3 linked regions of the Neurospora crassa OR74A genome follow. The protein of the gene in region 1 purifies or fractionates together with the protein of each later gene. This does not show direct contact. Links are inferred from orthologs where the notes say so. Each region holds a gene or a part of one and is shown on either strand. Other genes may lie near its edges. The genes, in order: NCU05363, NCU02967 and NCU11053.

The links.
Region 2: the proteins of NCU05363 (region 1) and NCU02967 purify together in Saccharomyces cerevisiae (affinity purification with mass spectrometry; 7 studies listed by BioGRID, with this or other methods). This does not show direct contact. The link is inferred for Neurospora crassa OR74A from reciprocal best matches to the Saccharomyces cerevisiae genes RPT6 and NAS6.
Region 3: the proteins of NCU05363 (region 1) and NCU11053 purify together in Saccharomyces cerevisiae (affinity purification with mass spectrometry; 5 studies listed by BioGRID, with this or other methods). This does not show direct contact. The link is inferred for Neurospora crassa OR74A from reciprocal best matches to the Saccharomyces cerevisiae genes RPT6 and NAS2.

The regions. Positions count from the first base shown.
Region 1 is NC_026502.1:1,421,642-1,425,395, forward strand, and holds NCU05363 (26S protease regulatory subunit 8), read left to right. Parts: upstream 1-1,254; 5' UTR 1,255-1,554; coding exon 1,555-1,789; intron 1,790-1,880; coding exon 1,881-2,815; 3' UTR 2,816-3,584; downstream 3,585-3,754. UniProt on the Saccharomyces cerevisiae protein: The 26S proteasome is involved in the ATP-dependent degradation of ubiquitinated proteins. The regulatory (or ATPase) complex confers ATP dependency and substrate specificity to the 26S complex.
Region 2 is NC_026501.1:8,551,764-8,555,039, reverse strand, and holds NCU02967 (ankyrin repeat domain-containing protein), read left to right. Parts: upstream 1-1,361; 5' UTR 1,362-1,506; coding exon 1,507-1,555; intron 1,556-1,655; coding exon 1,656-1,681; intron 1,682-1,741; coding exon 1,742-1,870; intron 1,871-1,948; coding exon 1,949-2,458; 3' UTR 2,459-2,742; downstream 2,743-3,276. Other genes in the region: NCU02966 (pre-mRNA splicing factor prp46), read right to left, coding at 1-994; NCU02968 (hypothetical protein), read right to left, coding at 2,775-3,276. UniProt on the Saccharomyces cerevisiae protein: Acts as a chaperone during the assembly of the 26S proteasome, specifically of the 19S regulatory complex (RC) and appears to have an overlapping role with RPN14.
Region 3 is NC_026501.1:9,335,796-9,339,297, reverse strand, and holds NCU11053 (26S proteasome non-ATPase regulatory subunit 9), read right to left. Parts: upstream 2,092-3,502; 5' UTR 1,948-2,091; coding exon 1,795-1,947; intron 1,734-1,794; coding exon 1,326-1,733; intron 1,248-1,325; coding exon 1,119-1,247; 3' UTR 625-1,118; downstream 1-624. Other genes in the region: ran (GTP-binding nuclear protein GSP1/Ran, variant), read right to left, coding at 141-200. UniProt on the Saccharomyces cerevisiae protein: Acts as a chaperone during the assembly of the 26S proteasome, specifically of the base subcomplex of the 19S regulatory complex (RC).

The sequences.
Region 1 (3,754 bases):
CGACACTCTGCTGCAGCACAGTATCAGTCACGCTGAATGACTTGGATCCAAGTCGCCATCATGATGCCTCGATCCTTGGCAAGTATTGGCGCATCTGGAACCAAGACGGGAACGGCGCGAGGGAGGATTTGATGTGACCGCCGCGTGCACCGGTTGGCCAGCACGGTTCGCTGCCATCATGATGTGGAGGGTGAGAGAAGGCAAATGGTCTCTCCCGGTCGACGCCGGTCTCAGGTCATCATGGACCGTGATGGATGACTGATCCTAGGTTCACCACCAGGGTGGCCGGGCTTCGGTGCCCTGCTTGGCTTGCCGGGTTGACAACCCCCACTCCATCAGCTGAGCTGATATCGCAGGGCTGCCTCACTTCTCATCAGAGGTATATATTGAGTATCACCATGTTGAACCGCGGCGGGTAAGAGGAAAGCACGGTGTAGCATGACTGCGACGGGTATAAAAACGGGTATACGTACGCACTTCAGGACGGTATGCGTAAAAAAATGATTGGTCATTCTCATGGTGGAATAGAGTTTCCTATGCCAAGCGACCGTCCTCTCTCTCATTCACCGAGACTCAACCTTGACTTCGAACCACAAAAATGGTGATCAGTGTTATTTCGGCTTGGAGAAGGCAAAAACTATCTCAGTCACACTGGAGGGGCAAGTTAAGGATCGCTCATATAAGAAGCCACCTGATACCTTAGCTCCCTAGGTAGCCGCCTGAAGAAGGGGTATGTAGCTGAACGACGGGCAGGCTCATGGAAATGAAACATGTGCAGTGTGACATGTGCAGTGCGCCCTCCCTTCAGTCCCATCTATACAGGCTGACGGGCAGTTGGAAAGCTTGAGTAGGAGAAATGAGAATGGGAACAGTAGAAGACAAAAGTAAAACTTGAAAGACGCAGTGCAGAGCGAGTCCTCTCTTATGCTGGATGACGAGCATCTGCAGGGAAAGGTGAGTATGCGTGCTGGTAGCAATCGTGACGGGACCGCGCCGGAGCATGACGAGGACTTTTTTGGAGTTTGGCGAGATTGGATACCACAACCCAGCACTGCACTGCAGCATGTGGAGTCGACGACGCAGCTGGAAGTGACATCATTTCAAAGGGCATCCATCTTCACCTTCAAAGCTCCCCTGCAAGTCTGGAGCCACGAGGTCACGTGTAACCCATCAAAGCACGAGCCTCTGCCGTTTATCGGTACGTACCTTATCCTGACATGGCGCTCTGATACCTAGTCTAGAGGCGGGAGCTGAGTCTTGGCATTGGGAGCCGGCCGGGTGTGTTGCGTTGACCTGAAGCTGCCTGTCTTCAGAAGGTCACCGAACGCCATCACCACCTCCACCCGGCCATTTCACCACCAGTAAACATCACCACCGCAACCCGCCACCACGATCGAGTGTCTGCGCATCGCAACACACAACTAATCTCGACGAGCAAGCGACGACCGAATACCGACCACGCACCCAAGGGCAAACCTATCCCACCTTACACAAAACAAACAATCACTAATCCCCCCCCGCGAGAGCTCCGTCTCTCCCCCACACGCCGTCACCATGGCGCTCGACAACTATTATCACAACAAGATCGAGGCCATGAAGCTCGAGATCCTCAAGGGCCAAGCCGTCCTCCGCCGTCTCGAAGCGCAACGAAATGACTACAACTCGCGTGTGCGCCTGCTCAGGGAAGAGCTCGGTCTGCTACAACAGCCCGGGTCCTATGTGGGTGAGGTCGTCAAGGTTATGAGCACAAAGAAGGTCCTCGTCAAGGTACACCCTGAGGGCAAATATGGTATGCGCACTCCGCCTCCTTCTGGAGTGTCCTGTTTTACGGATGGGTAAACAGATGGAAGTAACTGACCTATTGCCCCGCCGCCTACCAGTTGTCGATGTATCCGACAATGTCGACATCACCAAGCTCACCGTCGGCAAGCGCGTCACCCTTCTCTCAGACTCGTACAAGCTCGAAAAGATGCTTCCCTCCTCAGTAGACCCGCTCGTGTCCCTCATGATGGTCGAAAAGGTGCCCGACAGTACTTACGATATGATTGGTGGTTTGGACCAGCAAATCAAGGAGATCAAGGAGGTGATCGAGCTCGGCCTCAAGCACCCCGAGCTGTTCGAGTCGCTAGGTATCGCCCAACCAAAGGGTGTCCTGCTCTACGGCCCTCCCGGTACCGGCAAGACCCTGCTCGCCCGTGCCGTTGCCCACCACACCGACTGCAAGTTCATCCGTGTCTCGGGTTCCGAGCTCGTGCAAAAGTACATCGGCGAGGGTTCCCGCATGGTACGCGAGCTGTTCGTCATGGCGCGCGAGCACGCGCCCTCCATCATCTTTATGGACGAGATCGACTCCATCGGCTCTTCGCGTGTCGAGGGTTCGTCTGGCGGCGACTCCGAAGTCCAGCGCACCATGCTCGAGCTCCTCAACCAGCTTGACGGTTTCGAGCCCACCAAGAACATCAAGGTTATCATGGCCACCAACCGTCTCGACATTCTCGACCCCGCCCTCTTGCGCCCTGGCCGCATCGACCGCAAGATCGAGTTCCCTCCGCCGAGCGTCGAGGCCCGTGCCGACATTCTGCGCATTCACAGCCGCAAGATGAACCTGACGCGCGGCATCAACCTGACCAAGATCGCCGAGAAGATGAACGGGTGCTCGGGCGCCGAACTCAAGGGTGTCTGTACCGAGGCCGGCATGTACGCCCTCCGCGAGAGGCGCGTGCATGTCACACAGGAGGACTTTGAACTGGCCACGGCCAAGATTCTGAATAAGCATGATGATAAGGAGGTGTCGTTGGCCAAATTGTGGCGTTAAGTCTGCCCGGGGAGGGGAAAAGTGAAGGAAGAGTGGTGGTTTCATGCGTGCAACGATATGATACAGAATACAATAGTACTTTTATGGGAAAAGTAACTGACTCAGCTTTTTTTTACTTTCCTTGGTGCATCACTCTCAAGACTGCCTTTGTCGTCTGCATAGGCTGTCTGAAAGTGTATCGTTTTGTACATTCCAAGATTGAAAGCGGTCCTTGGCAACAACGGAGTATACCTACTCTCTCCTCTAGCGGAATCAACAGAATGGAGATGCAAACATTACCGTTGACTTTCAGACGTATCCTGGGCCCTGTTGCCGCCTTGACTCTGCACTAGGTCATTACCGGATTTCAGAACAACGGTCACACGAAGACGAATATCATGCCGAAACTGAGAGTAAATTGTGCATTGGAATGGCGTCGGTCTCTCGAATGTCAAATGGTTATTTGTAAGCTGCGTGGCCATCCGTGAGGAAGTGGCGAACCCTCATAGTATCTTGAACTACAGTTTCTGTCTTTCAGGGACAACTACAACCTGTAAAGCCGCGCCGGCACGAAAGACAAATACCGAGACGAAAGGATATTGTGCTCCAAGCTACTAACACAAAGTCCCAGCCAAACTCTCACGAAACCGCGCCATGCAAGAACTAACTTACAAACCACAGACCAAAACGAGACGCCTATTCACATGCAAGTTTTCAAGTACTCCAAACACCAGCAGCAGTAATACTTTGAGCGAAGTTCAGGTGATGGCAAATGGTTCATGGTAATGGTAACAATGGAAAACGACAGGAAAAGTGCAGAGAAGGGGGTACTGGGAAACTTGAGGTATACGTAGACAAACGTACGACAACGACAACAACAACAACAACACACACCCAAAAAAAAAAAAAAAAAAAAAAAAAAAGGCAACAACAACGTAACAAGATGATGACACGCTCTCC
Region 2 (3,276 bases), on another chromosome or scaffold:
CCTCCTGACAGACAAGATCCGCTACTGTGCCTGTGTGTCCAGAGAGGACGTGAATGTTGCTTCTTGTCCGCATATCCCACACACGCGCGACACCGTCGCGACCGCCTGTTACCAAAACATCCAGTGTAGGATGCAGCGCAAGGGTATAAACACCGCTGAGATGGCCGTGGTAATGTCGGATAACCTTGTTCGTCTCCAAATCCCAGCACTTGACCATCTTATCCTCACCGCACGAGAACAGGTATGGGTGTCTCGGTGACACGGCCAATCCGCGAACCGTCGAGATGTGTCCGGTAAGAGTCAACTTCAGCGCTCCTGACGCCAAATCCCAAATCTTGATAGTGCGGTCGCCTGCGCCCGAGGCAAACCACTTGTTGTCCGGTTCTACTGCCAAGGCACGCACCCACCCCAGATGGCCCGAAAGCACCTTGAGAAGCTTCCAAGGTGGGTGCCAATCTGGCCTGGGCTGTACCAGCACGTCGGATCGCCGCGCCAGGCTGTTTGTTTGGGGCTCGTTTCGTTGCGCATTTGGTCTGGTTGACGACGCGCCAGCGCCGCCGGGCTTGCTGCGCGACAGGACCAGAGCATTCGAGTTGGCGGCGGCGGACTTGCTCGGTGGGATACCCTCGATGAGTTTGCGGGCGTGTTCTTCGGATTTTGAGGGAGCCTCTTCGATGGCTGGCTTGGCCTTCTTTTTGCGTGGTCCGCCGGCTGGCAACTTGGAGGCAATGGCTTCGGGGAGGGTCTGGACGTCGCTGTACTCGGCGTGGAGACGGAGAGATAGGCCGGTCTTGGTGATGTCGGGATCTTCTGACGCAAGCCCAGGGTCGAGTTTTAGACGCTTTCTCCCGGAAGTGCCAGAGGCATCTGTAGTTGTGGCTGTGGCGGCGTAGATGAGTTTCGTTTTTCTAGCGTTCTCGCGGATCATGGTCGAGAGCGGGTTGGTGTCAGGGCCAGAGCCATTGGCGGCGCTGTTGGCAACCTCGGCCGCCATCTTAAGGGTCGGATGTCGGATAGGTAGGGTCGTTTCGTCGTTTGGGTTCTTTGTGCGAATTATTCTTCAATATAGCCGGAGGGGGTTTTGAGTCGGTTGTTGTGATGAAATCCGAATTCGAGCCGTGGTTGTTGACTTGATGTCAAAGTTGAAGTTGAAGACTGGATGCAGTGCGTGATGAAAGTGATACAGTGTGCTGAGCACCGACGAGCGCCACCGGCGCGGCCTGGACGCGGCTGGGAATTTTTGCTGACGTCCTGGCTTGGGGGAGCTTGGGCCACATCTTTTAGCACATTTAGCGTCTTGGCAAACACAGTCGAGCTCACACTGTGTGCCTCTTTCGGACTTCACACACCTCATGGAAGCTCCCGGGGGAAGGCATCACTTACATGACGTTCAACTCATGCAACAGCATCATCACCATATCAAACAAATCCTTGGAACTCAATTCAATCGACTTTCTGATTGACTTTGAGGCCTCTCTTACTGAGTAATCCATCTGCTTGATCAATATGGCAGAAGACAAGTTTGCAATTCACGCTGCCGCTAGGGATGGTAAAGGTGAGCATAGAAAGCTCCAGAACCCTTCAAGCTGAGCAGTTGAGGACACTCGTTAAACCATCCACGAAATGACTGAATACTGACATTTTCACAATCTCAGCGTCCATCGTCGAGTCTCTCCTCAATGTGAGTGAGATGTCGTTTCAAAAATACGTATACTTGCAAAATGACTAAACACACAACCAGGCCAACCCCAAGCTCGCTCAACGCAAGGACGACGATGGCCGTCTCCCCATCCACTGGGCCTGTTCCTACAACCGCAAGGAAGTCGTTGAGCTACTCGTGAACCAAAAGGGTTTTGATCCCGATGTTGAGGTAGGAACTCTCACTTTTTTTTTCTCCTTTCCCTTCCCTCTGTTCACTCAGCACTTACAACTTACACCACACAACCAGGACGACATGGGCTGGACCCCCTTCATGATCTCCGCCTCGGTCAAAGACTCCGACGCCATAATCGACCTCCTCCTTTCCCGCGGCGCCGACATCAACCAAACCAACCACCAATCGCAAACCGCCCTACACTTCATTGCTTCCAAAAACAACATTGACCTCGCGCGTAAGCTTTTGTCTCCAGACATGAAACCCAAGCCTGCCTCGGTCCGGGTCAAGGACAAACGGGGGCAATACCCCTTGCACCGCGCCGCGGCTATTGGGTCCGTGCCGATGATCAATCTTTTGTTGCAGCACAAGTCGCCGATTAATGCCAGCGACAACGCGGGGTATACGCCGCTGCATCATGCGGTGGCCGAGGGACATGGGCATGCGGCTGTTGCGTTGTTGAAGGCCGGGGCGGAGACGGACAAGAAAGATATGGATGGATATTTGGCATTGGACTTGGCGCCGGATAAGGATGTGAGGAGGTTTATTGAGAAAGAGGCCGAGAAGGAGGGGATTGAGCTTTAGGTTACCCCGTTTGCAGGTGCAGGTTGGGGGTACGTGTGGCGAAGATGACACGATGAGGAGAACGAGCGTTGACTTAATTTGCTCCGGAAAAAAGGGCGATGAATACGAGATAGTGATGCTATGGGCTAAACCAAGGTTTATGGACATCAATATCCAAAATATTAGTGAAAGCCATCCTTAGTCACATGTCCATTAGAGTCCCCTTCCCTTCATACCCACACGACAACTCATTTTCATTACCAGCCATCTTGAATAGTTTATTATGTATGCAAGAATCACTACCCAGTCCGTCCCCTCTCACTCACCACTCACGACCTCATTTCATAGTCCTCTCCACCAAATCCCTATACATGTCCTTCAAATCCTGCACATCCGCCTTCAACTCATCCACCTCCTCGCTCTTCTCGCCCAACAGCTCCAGCGTCGTCTCATATCGCTCATTCACCTCCGCCACCTGCCTCTCCAGCTCAGCCACCCTCTCAGCCGCCTTCTTCTGATTCTCCACCTCGCCCATGAGCGCCACAATCTCCGCCCGTGCCTCGTCCCGCTGCTTGGAGATGCGTGCCAGCTCTTCGCGCACCGTCACCTTCTCGCTCTCAAGCTGGCGGATCTTGGCACTCATGCGCTCCACGAGCTGGACCGAGGGCCCGGCGGCGATGGTGGATACGGAGACCATGTCCTGCAATACGTTGTGTGGAGAGGAGGACGAGTCGACGCTGTCGAAGCCCGTGTCGGAACGATGGAGCCCAGCGCGTGGGTGCTGGATCTCGGGTGCGCCACCTGCGTCTGATGTCTGGTGAATCGCGGATGAGGGTGTG
Region 3 (3,502 bases), on another chromosome or scaffold:
ATCATGTTAGCGCAACAAGTCCCAGCAAGCAGACGGGTACCCACCAACACCACCCCGCAGCACAGCGATATACACTGGAGCGCCGATGGTGTTTGATGATGATACCGTCCATGTTCGCGGAGGGTGGGATGTGGACTGACCTTGCCGGTACCACCGTCACCGACGAGGACGAGCTTGAAAGTAGGGGTCGCGGCAGCCATTGTGTATGATGCTTAATATCGCAGGCGAAAAGAAGCAGGTAAACAAGTCCTTTTGGGAAAGTCAGCTATCGACCGGTCGGAGCGACACAGATGGGCGGGGTATCGAATGGTTAAATAAGGGCGAGGGAGGGAGGGATCCAAATCGAACTAGAGACGCACCTTTGCGATTTTGCAGAGGGTGGGAAAATGGGTGTGGTCAAAAAGAGAGGAAGCAGTGGACCTCAGACAGCCTGGTGGATGATGTTGTGTTTTCAAGGCACCGCCGCTCAAGGGAATGAATGGGCCACCAGCCTTGACGAAAAACTCGTTGGGCGGCGGGGTGCTTGTTAGGTGACGGGCACGTGACCCGCCTGGTCAGTGCGGTACCCTCAACCAACTGAAGGCAACGAACCTGATGCGCGCAAAGTCAAACCGATCGATGAGGCTGCCATTCACTCCGTCTTGCCGCAATGCCGTCCGTTCGTGTCTTATTTTCTGCTCCTGACGTGCTGACGTGCTGACAGTCGCGTGTCGGGAACAAAGAACTGAACCTACCAGAGGTTTCAAGCGTTGGGCTACAGTGAATGCGCACTCTCATGGCATCGACCTTATCCATCTATCTCTTTTTCCATTTTGTCATCAGGTTTGCTCGTTCAAGCTCGTTTGTTTTGTTTTGGTTCTGGCCTCGTTACTACGGTGAGGGAGAACCCCCTGGCGTCTTGGCTTTTTGGTTCATCTTTCGAATGCCAGTCAGTCTCAGATCCGTCGTTTCCTTCATTACAAAGCAAATTCCCAAAGAGGCCTCATTTCCAGGCGGCAATGGCGCATCCTGATTCTTCCCTAACATATCTGAGCGGATTTGGTGCCCAATGACGCTACTCTTGTATCACAATCTTCTTCTGCCTAGTTCCAGGCCATCATCTCGCCCCGGTTGCCTTTTCATAGTGGCAAGATATGGCATCCAAGCATACCTCTACCGCCCCAGTCGCGGCGAGGAGTCAACGTTAGCCGAAGCTCTTGGGTTCGTGTCCCTGCCGTGCTCCGAGAGACCTTGACGAGGATATTTTGCTACGAAGTATACCCGGTTAGCTCAGCTTTCTCTAGGTTGGCAACTACTGAGGATGGACAGAGCCTGGCACGACTTACCCCTTCATTACCCTGAACACACTCTGCGACCTTCCTTAGGCTGTCATGGTTGGACCGGTTGACATAACCAAAGCTGCGAATCAGATCACCGGCCTTGAGACCTGCTGTGGCCGCCGGACTGTTATCAACGACACTGTTGACTTTGGCAAATGGCTGCTCCAGGACTTCGGGTACCGAGTCTGGCAGCGGTGCGGATTGATCCGTGGGAACAGGTGTTGACTCTTCGTCGTCGTCCTGGATGCTGGCGAAATGCTCATGCAGACGCTTCTCGATCAAGGCCATCAGCTCCTTGTAGTCGTTGCGAAGATGGATGATGCGCGACCTTGTTGTGCGGATTTGCGCAACATCGATATCTGATCTGGGAAAGCCATCGGGAGTAAGGAGGTTTGTGTTCATGTCAACGCCGTGCTGGAATATTTGATCAGTCAACTGGCATGATGAAGGCTCGAAGGATATAAACTGGACCAACCGAATCAAGCACTCCGCTGAGCGCCTTGAGCTCCCCCTCGATAGCATCCTTCTTGCGCTGGAGCTCAGCAAAGGATAGATGGGCAGCACTGCCGTTGGTGACAGGGGCAGAAGTCGGTCCCGAGGGGACAGTAGGCGCATGAAGATTGCTCATGGTGAAGGGTTGTAATTTCGTAATATCTTATAAAGGGTAAGCCTCAGTTGTGGAAATCACCAAGCATGATGAGATCTCGATCTCAGATTGGAGTATGTATGTACCTAGCTGGCTCGTGAATTACCTAGGTAGGTACTTTGTAGAGTACTCACATAACCCGACCCCATACCCAAAGCTTCCTAACCCAAGTGGATACGCTAAGACCGACCCCACACTATAGAAAATCTCTCAATTAACTATCACCCCTTTAATACGTCGCATACATACCTTTTAACTTTCCCTATAGAGAAATAACCGGCGCTTTTGATCCCAATAAACGAAACTTACCTACAAATAAGAAATATATAAGTCCAAATAATATTAGCCCGAACTCACCCTTCCGTAAACCTTCCACAACAATTCGTAATAACACCTACGTAATCTATCCCTAATTAATCTCTAATTTATTATATTTAATATAAAATAAGTACTAACCCTATTTCTAACGCTAATACTTTAACTATTATTACTAGGCTTAATTTAATTAAATAGAATAATAAAGTATTTAATAGACCGTCTATTATATTCGAATTATAGTAAATTATTAGTATAGTAGCCGAATTTAATAAATTAAAGGATTTAAAGGATATAACCCCTCTTAATATTATAATACTTAATAATTTCCTAATAAATCTTTATTAATATATTTTAAATATATCCTATATTAATTAATAATTAATCCTATAATATTAATTATATAAAAGTTAAAACTATAGGCCTAACGCTTATTTTATTTAATAATATCAATTAATACTCCATTTTTATCGAAATAATATACTATATAATTACTATTCTAAAATACCCTAAGTCTTCTACTCTTAGTATAGTATATATTATAAATATTAATAGTTTAACCGAAGATTAGGTTAAGGCTCTATAGAGCGAGGTATGTAACGGTAGTATTTTAAAATAAAATAGTAATTTAAATAAAGTTAATATCTAATTACTCTCTTATATCCTAGATCCAATATTGTATTGCAAGGAAAATGCTTGCGAAGGAAACTTCCTCTAATTATTTGAATAACGCTATCTATTATTATACTATATACAAATATATTGGTATTAAATATTGTAAATATTTAGACTATAGAATTTAGTAGGTGTATAAATAAGGGTTTATACCTATAGTCGACGAAGAAGTTATAAACCTTTTATTTTAAATCCGCCTTCAATAGGATAAAGTCCCCTTAGCTAGGCGAATTATTAAGTATAGATTTATCTATAATTTATCCCCGGCTTTAATTATATTACTATAACCTAATTAATGGTAATTATTATTTATTAATATAATTTTTATAATTAGTTGGGTAATAGGCGGCTAGAATGTATTGGGAAATATAGGGCTATAAGGAATTAAAGCTATTTTATAAATTTATTTAGTATATAAGTAAGGTATTTCCTATTTAAAATATACTCCTTATAATTAGCGTTACTTATATTCCTAACTTATTTCTATTAAGATAATTATTGGCTATATTCGCTATTAGTTAAAATATTAGAATTCGAAGTTAGAAGA